2 linked regions of the Stegostoma tigrinum genome follow. The protein of the gene in region 2 purifies or fractionates together with the protein of the main gene of each other region. This does not show direct contact. Links are inferred from orthologs where the notes say so. Each region holds a gene or a part of one and is shown on either strand. Other genes may lie near its edges.

Evidence for each region. The genes of interacting proteins can lie anywhere in the genome.
Region 1: the proteins of ccnk (region 2) and cdk12 purify together in Homo sapiens (affinity purification with mass spectrometry; 6 studies listed by BioGRID and IntAct, with this or other methods). This does not show direct contact. The link is inferred for Stegostoma tigrinum from reciprocal best matches to the Homo sapiens genes CCNK and CDK12.

What each region holds. Positions count from the first base shown.
Region 1 is NC_081384.1:540,058-547,287, forward strand, and holds the start of cdk12 (cyclin-dependent kinase 12), read left to right. Parts: upstream 1-4,225; 5' UTR 4,226-4,773; coding exon 4,774-5,834; intron 5,835-7,230. UniProt on the Homo sapiens protein: Cyclin-dependent kinase that phosphorylates the C-terminal domain (CTD) of the large subunit of RNA polymerase II (POLR2A), thereby acting as a key regulator of transcription elongation.
Region 2 is NC_081363.1:18,537,633-18,544,957, forward strand, and holds the start of ccnk (cyclin-K), read right to left. Parts: upstream 3,006-7,325; 5' UTR 2,940-3,005; coding exon 2,800-2,939; exon of another isoform or gene 2,605-2,799; intron 1-2,604. UniProt on the Homo sapiens protein: Regulatory subunit of cyclin-dependent kinases that mediates activation of target kinases.

The DNA of each region.
Region 1 (7,230 bases), on a different chromosome or scaffold from region 2:
CTGGAAGTGGAAACCGATGTGCTGGCAGTGATTAGTTTATACAGAACCTCTGAGTGGGGATACAGCCATGAGGCTTCGAGGGTATGTTGTTCACAAGAATAAGTCAGTGATGAGGATACTTTGGGAGCGACGAAGGCTGAGAGGAAATTTGATAGAAATTATCAAAACTTTCAAATAATTTTCTGATTGGGTAATGGTCAGCCTGGGAGAAAGAAAAGTCACCAATGGTGGGGACTATTGGAAATGGATTGGCTGTAGTGATTATCACCATGGTCTCTCGCTGACGAGGATGGCTCTGTCCCACTCTCAGGGTGAGTCCAAATGTTGCTGTACAGGCCGATGTGGCTACCGCAGGCTCCGTTACACTTGGGGCAGAAGGTGGTCGCGGGACATTGGCGTGCTCCTTACACTGTTTCTGCTTTTTCCTAACATCAACTCTCAAGGTGCTCAATGCCTTCCCAGATGGTCCTCCTCCACTTTAGGCCATCTTGGACCAGTGATTCCCAGGCATCTGCAGGAACGCCACACTTTGCCAGTGAGGCCTTGAGACTGTCACCGAAGCACTTCCTCTGTCCACCTGGGACTCACTCATTGTTTTGAAACTGGGAGTAGAGCACCTGTTTGGGGAGTTGCATGTCGATCATGCAGACAACATGCCCAGACCAATGGAGCTGATCAAGGGTGGTCTGTGGTTCGAGGCTGGTGATGTTGGCCTGGTCAATGATGCTGGGTTGCTGCATCTTTCTTCCCAGCAGATTCACAACATCTTGCACTGGTAGTGTAGATGGTATTGTGCCAGTGCCTTGAGGTGTCTGCTATAGACAGTCCATGTCTCAGAGCCATGTAGAAGGGCAGAATCCACCACAGATCTGTATATCATGTAGGAGGGTGGGATCTAGCACAGCTCTGTATACCATGATCTCGGTGTTGGATCTGATGTTGTTGTTCTCGAACACCTTTTTCTCAGGTGGTCAAAGGCTGCAATAACACACTGCAGGTGGTGCTGGGTCACTGCATCAGTCGCTGCTTTGGCTGACAGGACATTCCCGAGATATTGGAAAGGGTCAGTGTTCTCTCAGGCTTCCCTGTGGACTTGATGATCAGGGGTTTGCTCCATATTGCCAGGCCTGGTTGATGAAGGACCTTTGTCTTGTGGATGTTTTGGGGTGAGACCCCGTATGCCCCCGTCACGGTGCTGGAGTACATACACTGTGCATACACACGCACCATCCACATAGTGCAGCTCAGTGCCACTGGGTGGGCTGTGGCTTTGGTTTTTGTTTGCAGGTGGTGGAGGTGAAATAACTTCCCGCTACTTCTGTAGGTTAGCTCCATGTCAGCAGGGAGTTTGTTGGTGGTCAGGTGAAGCATTGCAGCGAGACAGATCGGGGACAGTGCTGGGGTGATGACACACATTGGTCTGAATGGGGAATGGGTTGGAAGTAGAGCCATTTGTCATTACCATGGCTTCCAGATTGTCGTGAAGCAGCTGAAGGATGGTGACTTCATGGTGCAACCAAAGCAGAGAAGGGCGCTCCATATGCTTCCTGACTGACAGTGTCAAAGGTCTTTGTAAGGTCAGAGGGCCACGTGCAGGATAGGTTCTTTTCTCTGCATTTCTCCTTCAGCTGGTGCATGGGAAAATCACATCTGTTCTGCTCCTCCGTGGCCAAAAGCCACGCTGCAATTCTGGGAGGAGCTTCTCAGTCACAGGGAGGAGGTGGTTGAGGTGGATGTTGGCGATGACTTTTCCAACAGGCGGGAGCAGGGAGATTCCCCTGTGGTTACCACAGTCAGACTGTTTCCTTTCATGAAAATACTCATGACTGTGGCATTGTGGAGCTCTCCCAGGGTGCTCTCCTCCTTGTGGATAAGGTAGAAAGGGCCTGAAGGCAGCAGCAGGATCGTTTTGCTTCTACACCTCAATGTCTCAGTCAGGATATCATCTACTCTAGTAACCTTGTTGCTCTTAAACTGTTCTTAAACTTAGACCCTGTCTACTTCATGCCAGGCTGGGGCGTTGGTCAGCTTATGGTGTGCAGCTGTCGGATTGACGACAGAGCCCTGGTTGAGGAGGTGTCTGAAGTGGCAGTGGTGAACAGAGCATCTGAACAGAACGGATTAGGACAAACAGTTTCCACTCATAAAATAATCAAGAAAAAGAGGTTACAAACAGTAAAGAGACATCTTGTGAGGCAACGAAACAATACCTCTCACAGCAACAGCTTCAAAATGTGATGCGTTGAGGCAGGTTCAATTCAGGCTCTCAATTTCCACAGAAACAATACACAGGGACACGGACACGAGAACTCAGTTAAAATGTCAGAGACAAAAACTGAAGCTGTGGAATACCTCCGGATACAACGCATCATCCTCCGACACTTCCGCCATCTACAATCCAACCCCACCACCCGAGACATTTTTCCATCCCCTCCCCTGTCTGCTTTCCGGAGAGACCACTCTCTCCGTGACTCCCTTGTTCGCTCCACACTGCCCTCCAACCCCACCACACCCGGCACCTTCCCCTGCAACCGCAGGAAATGCTACACTTGCCCCCACACCTCCTCCCTCACCCCTATCCCAGGCCCCAAGATGACATTCCACATTAAGCAGAGGTTCACCTGCACATCTGCCAATGTGATATACTGTATCCATTGTACCCGGTGTGGCTTCCTCTACATTGGGGAAACCAAGCGGAGGCTTGGGGACCGCTTTGCAGAACACCTCCACTCGGTTTGCAATAAACAACTGCACCTCCCAGTCGCAAACCATTTCCACTCCCCCTCCCATTCTTCAGACGACATGTCCATCCTGGGCCTCTTACAGTGCCACAACGATGCCACCCGAAGGTTGCAGGAACAGCAACTCATATTCCGCCTGGGAACCCTGCAGCCATATGGTATCAATGTGGACTTCACCAGTTTCATAATCTCCCCTTCCCCTACTGCATTCCTAAACCAGCCCAGTTCGTCCCCTCCCCCCACTGCACCACACAACCAGCCCAGCTCTTCCCCCCCATCCACTGCATCCCAAAACCATTCCAACCTGTCTCTGCCTCCCTAACCGGTTCTTCCTCTCACCCATCCCTTCCTCCCACCTCAAGCCGCACCTCCATCTCCTACCTACTAACCCACCCCCTTGACCTGTCCGTCTTCCCTGGACTGACCTATCCCCTCCCTACCTCCCCACCTATACTCTCCTCTCCACCTATCTTCTTTTCTCTCCATCTTTGGTCCGCCTCCCCCTCTCTCCCTATTTATTCCAGTTCCCTCTCCCCATCCCCTTCTCTGATGAAGGGTCTAGGCCGAAAACGTCGGCTTTTATGCTCCTGAGATGCTGCTTGGCCTGCTGTGTTCATCCAGCCTCACATTTTATTATCTGTGGAAAAGCTCAGCAGGTCCAGCATCACCTGTGAAGATAAAATCAAAGTTAACATCTCAGGTCCAGTGACCATTGCAAACAGAAGTTCTGAGAAGAATGTGGTAATGGTAACTGCAGATGCTGGAGAATCCAAGATAATAAAATGTGAGGCTGGATGAACACAGCAGGCCCATTCTGAGAAGAATGTTCCCAGGAAGTGTCGCTGGACCTGAAACTTTAACTCAGGCTTTTTCTTCACAGGTGCTGCCAGACCTGCTGAGCTTTTCCAGCAACTTCTGTTTTTGTTCCTGATTGACAGCATCTGCAGTTCTTTTGGTTTTTAAAATGTCAGAGAGCACGTGTGGTTATAATGGGGCAAACGGCCTCCTGCAATTCTGATTATAAATAAACATTGTTGCTTGACCTCCTCGTGCATTTCCTGTTATTGGTTTTGCAATTATAATTTGAAGCAGCAGTGATGGTATTTATATCTAAACTGCTGCCCCAATGGGCCTCAGGGACATTGCATTCATCCAGAAAAGTTTAGAGAAAAATTTAACATATTCCTGCAGTAATTACACCGCCGCCAATCGGCCAAATCGTGACATTACAGTGGACAGCGCCCTCCAGTACACATGGGGAAGTAGAGCGCCACCACGAGTTAGGAAAGAGGTACTGCAGCCCCACTGTATACCGCTCGCGCTCACGAGGGGCCACTACAACCACGCAGAGCGCCCTCCTGTGTCCAGGAGGAGTTACTGCCATCGCTCACTGCGCCACACAGTGTCCAGAAGGGGTACTACAGCAACACAGCGCGCCCTCTTGCGGTTTGGTGAGAGAAGTGGGCGGTCCGGAAGTAGATGTTTGACCTCTGGAGGTTCTGAGTTTCCGGCGAAGCGATACTGAAGCCGCAATGGCGTCGGTGTTTTCAAAGCTGAGGGCAGGCTGCTGCCAGTAATCCGCCTCCATCGGCCTGAGTATCGGCCAGAGCAGGCTCAAGGGTTTCTAACCTTGTTGCAGAATGTCTTATAAACACGCTGATAGAGCCATTTGCTGTGAATCAAAGCGATATTACTGATAAAAACTTAGATACCAGATACAAGTTTTTTACGTTCGCTAATCCAATATTCTGGACTCCAACTGAACTCAAAACGAAATAAAATAAGTTTTTAATGTTTGGAAACGGCGTCTATCCTGTAAAAACTATCTTCAGGAGCCAAAACATTGCCAAGAAAATCCAAGCCCCAGTTCTTGTGCCTTAAAGTAAAGACCTGAAGTTGCTGTCAGTGGCAGCCCAGCAGAGTAAAGATTATGGAAGAAAAGGAACATTTGGGGTGAATGTTCAGACAGACGATCAGGATCAGGGCCGCCTTCAGCACACTTTCACTTTAATTTTCTTGTTTTTTTTGTGGGATGCCGGGCTCGGAGAGAGCCGGGACTAAGGCGGATGGAAGCAGTGGCCTGGGCTCCCTGCAGCCTGGCCCCAGCAGCGGCAGAGAGCGGCGCAAAGCAGCGTCCAGGCACAAGCGACACCGAACCAAGCACAGCAGGGACTCGCCGGGGGCGGCCACACAGACACCACTCACCAAGGTGAAGTCTTTGGTCGAGTACGATGACATCAGCTCGGAATCGGACACTTTCTCCGAGGTCACCGTCCGTTCCGAACGGAGAGAGAAAGAGGACCGGGTGAGTTCAGACAAAGCGGTCAAAGTTCACAAACATCACCACCATCACACACACAAACGGGTTAAGGAGCACCATAAGATGAAGGAGGCTGAACGGGTTAAAGATCGAGGGAGAAGGCCAGAATCTGGCAAGTCCAGGAGTAGCAGAGAAAGGACTTCTTCCAAAAGGCAGGTGATGGAGGATGAAGACAGTGGGAAGAAAGAGCGAACGTCGCCTCTCTCAAAGCACAGCAGCAAGGAGTCAAAATCTGCTAAATCGTACAAAGAGAGAGCAAAGAAAGAGGAGCGGTCAACACACAAGGAAAGAACTAAGAGTCAAAAGAAAAATAAGGAGACACCACGAGGCTATCGAACGTCTCCCAGTCCAAAAAAGAAAAGTGGGAGCCCAAGACGCAAGCATTCTTCAAGTCCAAATAGGGAAGACAGCCCCATTGGGCCATATGGCAAAGGATATGATGCCAGTCCTGTTTATAGGTCACGGACTTCTAGTAATTATGATGGTTACTGGCGAAGTCCTGGTGATTCCAGCCGGAAACAATCGGCCAGCCCCCCCTATTATGGTTCCAGGGAGCCCACAGCCTACCAAAGTGGTTATAACATGAGATCACCAAGTCCTTACGGCAGGAGACAACGGTCTTCAAGCCCCTACAGCAGGCATCGATCCCCCAGCTACGACAGACACAGCAGCTCGTATGACTACAGTGGAAGGTCGCCAAGTCCATACAGCAGGAGACGCTCAGTAAGCCCATACAGCACCAGGCGGTCGTTCAGTCAGAGCCCATTGGCCAGGTACAGTTTAAACTTTACTTATTTCTTAAGGTGCAAAACAGTACTGTGAGCTCATATTAGTGTATTGCTGTGTGAAATGTTTTATCTGTTTATAGTATGAGAGGGTTGGGAGTCAGAGAAGGGGTATTTGACAACTTTAAGCCCCCTTAGCCAATAGGTCACAACCAGGGAATGAGACAGCACAGCACTTCCTGAATGGCAGCTTTCAGGCCTAGTTCTGAGTCTTGCTTCAGACTTGCTACTTGGAGGCAGCAGTTTCTGTTCACTTTAATAAGACAGGGGCAACTTGAGGTGGTGGGAAGTTGATAGTGAATTAAGGATTTATTTTAGGGAAAGTGTTGAATGATTTAGTTTTGTTCAGACAGTTTGAGTGGCTCTGACATCAGGTTCATAATGACCCTCTGCTCCTCGGACTGTTCCAAATCTGGCAGCAGGAGGATATGGGAAATGCCTGAATAACTGTTGGCTGTAAGGCTGAGTGCTGGAGTTTACAGAAGGAGCTATTCTGAGAAATGATCCAAATTGGAGAGCAAAGTTGGAATGTAAGGGGCCCTGGTGAAAACAGTGTGGTGAAGGCTTACATGATGAGATCCTTCTGCAGCCCAGTGCTAATGATCAGCTGTGTGAATGCCAGGAATCGAGCCAGAGTATGGGCACACTTCAGCTATTGTCACCTCCACGTTTCCGTGGGCTAGGCCTAAATATTCACAAGGGGAAGTGGCAGGGTTCCATACATGATGGGGAGTTCCGCACAGATTGTGTACACGACAAGGCCCCAGTACATCATGAGGGTCCTACAGGTGAGGGGTCACTACCCAACCGAGCAATGATGTTAAGCTATAACTTAGCCAGTTATGCCTTTTCTCTTAATTGCTTCAGTTCTTGTGGATGCTGCAAAGGACACCACACTCCCCAGATACTCATTTAGTCACCTGACACCTGTATTTACAAGCACTTTCTGTAATATCACAAACCTGTGTACAAATAACAAGTGTTGAGGCTGTCAGTATGAACCAATTTACCTGGAAGTGAATACAGGCTTTAGCAAAGAGCAGAATGAGGGTAAATGCTGCTGGAGGTAAAAATCTTGATTGTAAACATTGAAATGAAGACATTGGCATCAGAGGAGCAGGAAAGCTGACGTTTCAGGCCTAGACCCTTCTTCAGAAATCTGCTCCTGTTTCCTGTTCCTATGACACTGCTTGGCCTGCAGTGTTCATCCAGCTCTACACCTTGTTATCTCAGGTTCTCCACCAACTGCAGTTCCTATTAGCTCTGAAACATCCTTGTAAATCTTTTCTGAACCCTTTTTGAGTGTCACAACATTCTTCCTGTAGCAGGGAAAGCAGATCTGAATGCAGTATTCCAAAGTGGCCTAACCGATGTCCTGTACAGT
Region 2 (7,325 bases):
AAGGTCAACTGTAAGTGTGCTAACTTGACAGTATTGAAATCAGTCAACAATTTAAACTTCAGCATTCGAAATAAATGGTGTAACAAAAAGAAAATGAGTTTGCCAATTTGAACTTTCTTTACTAACTTCTGACCAAGTGAAAGATATGATTATTTTAACAAACCTATGTGTGGCGCCACTAAATACTGAGATTACATCACAGATTAACCGGTTCAGAGTACACCTACAAACTTTGTTTTATTTCAGCTAAAACAGAAACTCGTTAAGGATCATGGGAACGTAGTCTCCATTGTAAACTGTTAAACTATTTGTCAACTTCAGCAAATTAAGTGGTCTCACACTTGAATGCCTTCCATAATTTAAACTGTTCTGGAATTGTGGGATTTCTGCCTTTTGGGATATTATTTGGTATCACCAGTTCCTTGACATTGACTGCGACCAACCCTCTCACTAAGTGTTTTGAGTGAAGCACGCTGCTTGCAACTTTTCTCCTACTTGGTGAAAAATCTTAATTTTTGAACCCACTGCAGCCCCACCACAAAAGACTTCAAATTTCCAACTTAATGCCTATGACCACCATTGACTGCTGAAACCCTTCTTTTGCTCTTTGCCACTCACAGACTCAATTATCCAATACTCACCTTACCAGCCTATGTTTCAGATACTGCAACTGATTCATCTAGAACAAAATTCTCTCCCACATAGGTCCCACTCACCTAACTTTTGCAAACCTGCACTGACTCAATGTCTCAAACTTAACATTTTCATTTTCCATGACTGACTATTCTGATATGACACCAATCTTTAAAATTCTATTAAGTTCGACAAATCCTTTGCAAATTACTTAAGCCATACAAGCACACCCCTTCACCCCCCAAGACTCCTGTATTCCGCCAACTCTGGTTTCTACGCCCCTGATTTTCATGGGTATATGGCTGCCCTCAGCTGCAAGACCACAAGGTCTGGAATTCCTTTCTCAAGGCAACCGTCTAGGTTATAATGCTAACAGTCCCAATTAAAGAGCCATAAAGTGATACTAAGAAAGGTCCAAGATCTTGGTCAGTGTTGAAATGCAATTCCTTTCTCATTGAGCAGGATACTATTGCAACGAACAGCTGTACTTTTTATGGAATGACATAGAAAAAAGATGACAGGCTATGACCTGAAATATTAACTCTGTTTCTACGTTCACAGATATTGCCAGTCCTGTTGAGTATTTCCAACATTTGTTGTTTTTATTTCAGGAAGTGAATGAGATTTGAGGACCTTTATGGAGGGACATCCGTTGCTTAGAGTCTGGTCTGGACAGGAGAAGGAACAGTTAGTATCAGTAGAGCAACTTCACTCCAATTGCTCAATGGGTGTTAATTGGGGGAGTGTTAAGACCTTGGAACTCCACAAATTTGGTTGATATCAAGAGACAGGGAAATGATGCACAAATATCATTCCTTCATTTTTCATTTGGAAAAAGTGTGCTTCCAACATTCTACGCATCTTATTACAAGTGGAAAGTGTTGTGGACATCAAATGTTTTAAAAACCTAATACTGAAGAATTCACAATACTAGTGACAGGTACTGCATTGGTAGAATTGTCACCACTTTGTGACATAAAACTGAGGCCCATTCGCATGGTCTCATACTAAGATCCAAAAGGTACTACTGAAGAGGAGTAGGGGTACCCAGCTAACATTTACTGCTAAAAATACTGAAAACAGTTTGAATTTTCTCTAGCATTTGCATCACCATATTGTGATATCACAATGGATAGGTATTTTTAAATCAACCTCTATGGGGATGTTATGACACACAAAGGCAAAATACCATACATACTGGAAATCTAAGACTAACACAGAATGCTAGAGAAGCTCAATGGTTTGGTATCATCTGTGGAGACAGAAAGAGTTAACTTTGGGTCAAAATATTAACTATGTTATGACACACCTCTTGAACCCAAGCATTCTAGCCCATACATAATGACACTTCCAACTGGACAACAGCAGATATACTTGGAGAGCAATTTCTGAAGTAGTCAGCCAAAAAAAGAATACATTACATTCTACAAAAGAAGCTCCAAAAAAACAGATTTCCCAAATTGATTCTCAGTGTAGATTAAAATAATTTAACGTTTCATCAATATAATTAATCAGTGTTACGAGTGATCAGATTTCCTCAATGACACAACAACAGCAGTTAAGGGGTACAGCGACTCCAAACCACCCAAATGTTCTTACAAAGCCCTTCGCCCTCGCTTCCCGATAATGGTTCAAAGACAAAGTTACTCACGACGCATGAAAAGATTTAAAAAAAAACAAATTATATCCCTTTATTTTGGCCGGGGGAGGGGTAGGAGAGGGGGGGTGGTACGTTGAACATCAGTGAAGTGGGGGGGGGGGGGGTAGTATAATCAGTAGATGTGAAACTGCAATAAAAACCCCACTATTGATCCCTGTCCCCTCCAAAGGGGCTAGGGGCCCTAAACAGCAGTCGGTGCAGCTTTCATGCGAGGCGGGGGTTACAGCTCACAGCCCAAAAGCGAAGCTACCTCTAGTACAACGGCAATAGTCACCGCTGACTACATGTGCCCACCTCGCTCGATCTCTTACCTAAGGCAGTGCTGAGGCCCGGCCTCACACTACACCAAACTCGGCTCCACAGTCAAACAGAAAATCTCCCTCTCGCCCCGACCGTCCAGCTTAAGCTGCTTCCCCACAAACAATCGACTAGAGCGGTCCCAAAAGTCACAGCAGGATCCGAAGAAACAAGGGGAAAGAGTATGAAGGCGGACCAACAAACTCAACTGCTCACGATCTTCCTCTCTGTCCTTCTCCCTCTCCGACACCGGCACTTTCACTCCAAACTTCCCAAACGATTCAGACAGGGCGCCGCCATTTTGAACAAACCACCCCCACACGGACGACGAGTAAACGCACATGCGCATCTGATATCGCTCTTCCCCATTCCTCCACCCTCTAACAACAGGAACGCCAAGTCGTGATCTGATTGACGGCCAGCTCCAGCCCATTGAAAGCCAGCCTTGGCGGGAGGCTGTATCGTCATTCATCCAATCGACGGTATCCGCGACGGGAATGGGGCAGGGTACATTGCAAGGGCTGGGGGCGGGTTTTGACGGTTCAAACTGGTCGGGTGGGGCGGCATGGCTCGTGATTGATGACACTTGGAACCAATGGACATGAGAGCCTCTTGTAGGTGAACCAATCACGGTGGCAGCGGGGTGGGCGCTTTGGGTCGCTATCAAGTTAGGCTGAGAGGTAGCATCAAGCTTGACTGACTGGGGTGATTTTTTCAATCTGCTGTGACTGCCGGTTTATTTTTCCTTCAACAGACAACTGCGGTGTTCAGGTTATTCAGTTGCTCTCTTCCTTCAGCTTTTTTTTTATTGCGATTGGCTTCTATCGGTGTGAAATGCCGTTGGTACCTAGCTTATTTTGCGCGCTTGTGTCTGAGTGTAAGGACATGAGTGAGTGATGGAGCAGGCAGGGCCTGTAGAGCCTTAACCCTTTATTTGGCTGTTGCATACTTTTTTTTAGTGTCAGGGATCATGTAAACCCTCATCTTCACGAAGTCCAAAGTCAGACTTTGGGCATTGCAGGGTTAAAGAGCCAGGTTTAATCAGGACGAGGTAGACGTTTTTTTTAAAATTGGCTTTTAAGCAAATTATTAAACGTTTGTTCTATATAACTTCATTTGGGAGAAGTAGACGTTTGGCGAGAGTGGTTCGATTTTAAGCACGAATGGACAGTGCCACTGACGGCACTGTCTGATCCGTAGCAAGGTATTAAGTTGCTGTAATTTAAATTATGAGTTTTTGCTTGGTGTGTAGCCATCTCGCCGCGGATCAAACGGTGTGGGCTACAAGTTCCACTCGAGAGACTTGAGGTTTGACCATAACCTGGGCTAACGCTCTAATGCCATTAGACAAGGAGTGCGACACGTTTAGAGAGAATTTTTCAGATCAAAAAATTGTACTGTTAGGGGCAGTAATGGCCTAGTGGTTTTATTGCTGGATTGTTAATCCAGAGACCCAGATAATCTTCTGGGGACGAATCAGATGGTGGGATTTGAATTCAATAAAATATCTGGAATTAAGAATCTAATGACCGTGTTGTTGAATGTTGGGGAAAAACTCATTTGGTTCACCAATGTTCTTTAGGCAAGAAAACTGCCATCCTTATCTTGTCTGGCCTGCATGTAACTCCAGATGCACAGCAATGTGGTTGACTCTTAACTGCCCTCATGGGCAATAAATGCTGCCGAGCCAGCGATGCCGTCATTTCATAAATGAAGAAAGAATAAAGACTGTTGTGAACAATAGAAGGATGTTCTCTGTGGTGTCATGGCCAATGTTTATCCGTCAGGCAACATAACAAACCAAATAAACTGACCACTAGCATTGTTCTTTGTGGCATGGTTTACTCTGAACAAATCAGTTGTTATATTTCTTGCTTGACAACTGTTCTTGTAGTCACCTGACCCACTATTCAAGATGCTATCTCTTCAGGCTAGTGAGTTTTTACCTTGGGTCTTTATGCGTCATTCCTGTCATATAGATCAAAGTACTTGGTGGATGAATTGTCACTATTCTGAATGAATAATGGAAAACCCTCACAATCATTGAGGTCAATGATGTTGTACTTTAAGGAGAGCTTCAGAGTGTCCATGAAATATTTTCTTTGGCCTCCATTGGATTATTTCTCATTTGAACATTGAGGAAACAGGAACTGGTGGGGAGGTGATTTTTGTTCGCAGTGATCAGTCTGACAAAATTGATTTTGCTGGGGCTTTGTCTGTTTATTGATAGACCTAGTTCCAGTAGGATACTAGTATTAATGAGATGGTTTTCCTAAATCCAGAAAATCCACCTTCATAGTGGCAATATGTACGCCAAGGGTCACTGCAAAACAGGAATGTTCCCAACATCACAACAGAAATGACCACATTTCAAAAGTAGTTCATTAGCTGTAAAGTGCTTTGAGATGTCTTGAAGCCCTGAAATTTGCTATTTAGGTGCAAGTTTTCTTTTAATGTTTGGTGATTTACACTGCTCTGTGTCTTCTGGAGTGTTGACTGATGCAGCAGCCAACAATTTAATTAATTTTTTAAAAATGGTGTTGGTTGATAAAGGAATAGTTTTTTGAATACCAGCAGACAATCCTTGATTTAGGAAAGTTCTGTTACTTTATTCAAAGTTACAGTATTTCTTGATGGTAGTGATAAATTTACAATAATGCTTTCAACTGATTACTTTTACCAGTCTGGACAACTCTCTTTATGTAGTAGAGAGAGATAATGGGAACTGCAGATGCTGGAGAATCCAACCAAATAAAATGTGAGGCTGGATGAACACAGCAGGCCAAGCAGCATCTCAGGAGCACAAAAGCTGATGTTTCAGGCCTAGACCCTTCTTCAGAAAAAAAAAATTCTGATGAAGGGTCTAGGCCCAAAAGCATCTTTTGTGCTCCTAAGATGCTGCTTGGCCTGCTGTGTTCATCCAGCCCCACACTTTTTATTATCTTGGATTCTCCAGCATCTGCAGTTCCCATTGTATCTGAAACATGTATATGAAAGGCTAGTTGGGCATATTTTGTATAGCTGGACACTTTGATTTCATAGAACTTTAGGGTATGGATTTGAAGGTGTTACTGTCCACTGTTTTACTTTTCTAGGAGGACTTGCCTCAGTGACTAGAATGTGTAAATTGCATGAATGCAATCTCTTTTTCTTCTTCTCTTTTTCTTTTAGTATAACTAACCCCTGATCCATTGCTCATGGTAAGCCAAAGAATGAACTGGTTTTGATTCATAGATGTTTAGTGCACAGGAGGTCACATGGCCCGGTATGTCAATGCCAGCCTTGTTTGGAGGCAGTCCAAAACAAAATTTTTTTTTCTCCTGTATATTGTAAAAGAAATCATAAAAAGCATGAGGGGTATTTGCTCAGATATTCCGGAAGTTAATACTTGATTGAGATGTTATAGGCCATTGTGACAATTCAGGATTTGCCCTTTTTTTTCATTGTGGGAGAGATTGCAGAACAAGACAGATGGAGAATGCGAAAAACTTGATTCGTATTTGTAAGAGAAGATTATCCAACTATCCTAGAAAAAGGAAATAAAGGAGCATTGTTTGAAAAGTTTCAACTCTCCTACATCTAGCTTAGATGTGCTTAATTTGATTCAACGCTTATGGACTAAAACAATTTTTTAGAAAGGACAATGTTCCACAAGTGAATTTAAAAAACAATGTCAGTCATGTGGGGGAAAGCACAGTGGCTCAGTGGTTAGCGCTGCTGCCTCACAGACCCTGGGACCTGGGTTCAATTCTAGCCTCGGTCAACTGTTTGCATGGGGTTTTACTGTTCTCGCCATGTCTGTGTGGGTTTCCATTGGGTGCCCTGGATTCCTCCTACAGTCCGAAGATATGCAAGTTAGGTGGATTGGCCATGTTCAATTTCCAATAGTGTTCAGGGAAATCCAGGTTAGTTGCATTATCTACTAGTACTGAAGTGCAGGTTTAAGGAATGAGTTTGGATGGAATGCTCTTTGACGGGTTGGTGTGCACTTCTTGGGCTGAATGGGGTTCTATGATTATTATGTCGTGATGTAATTCATATTTCCACTGGAAATATGGGTTTTAATTCCTCCACAGATGTTTTGTAGAATTTGATTTCAGTTAATAAATCTGCTTCACTGATACCCCTTAAGGAAGGAAGTCTGCTGTCCTAACATTGTCTGGCCTGTATGTGACTTGATAGCTACAGCAATGTGGTTTACTTTCAACTACCCCACTTGAAGTGACTGAGTAGGTCACTCAGTTCACGGGCAATTAGAAATGGGTAACAAATGCTGGACTTGTTGATAACACCCATATCCCAAGAAATACTAAAGGAAAGAAAACAAAATTGCCCAGACAGATTCTCCAAAAAAAAACTCACATTTATAACAGTGATGTTTTTTCCTGAAAGATAACCCATAGTACTTCAAAGCTAATTTATCTTCTTTGGAAGTGTAGTTACTGTTATTATGTAGGAAACAGGCAGTCAATTTACATGTAGCTAGGTTCTAATCATTTCCAAATAATTTGTTTTTAGCTGTGATAATGTGTGCTGAATCCAAGACTGAGTGTAAGTTATTATTATGTGTAATAATGTTTCACTTATAAATGTTCTGCAATGACATTTGGAGGAGTGAGTTTTCTTGTTTTTTTTCCGTCATGTTTTAGCATTGTATGTTTCAGTAAATGGTTGCTATTTACCAAGCAGAGAAGTTCTTTATAACTAGTTTTAAAATCTTCCCACACCCTGCTTC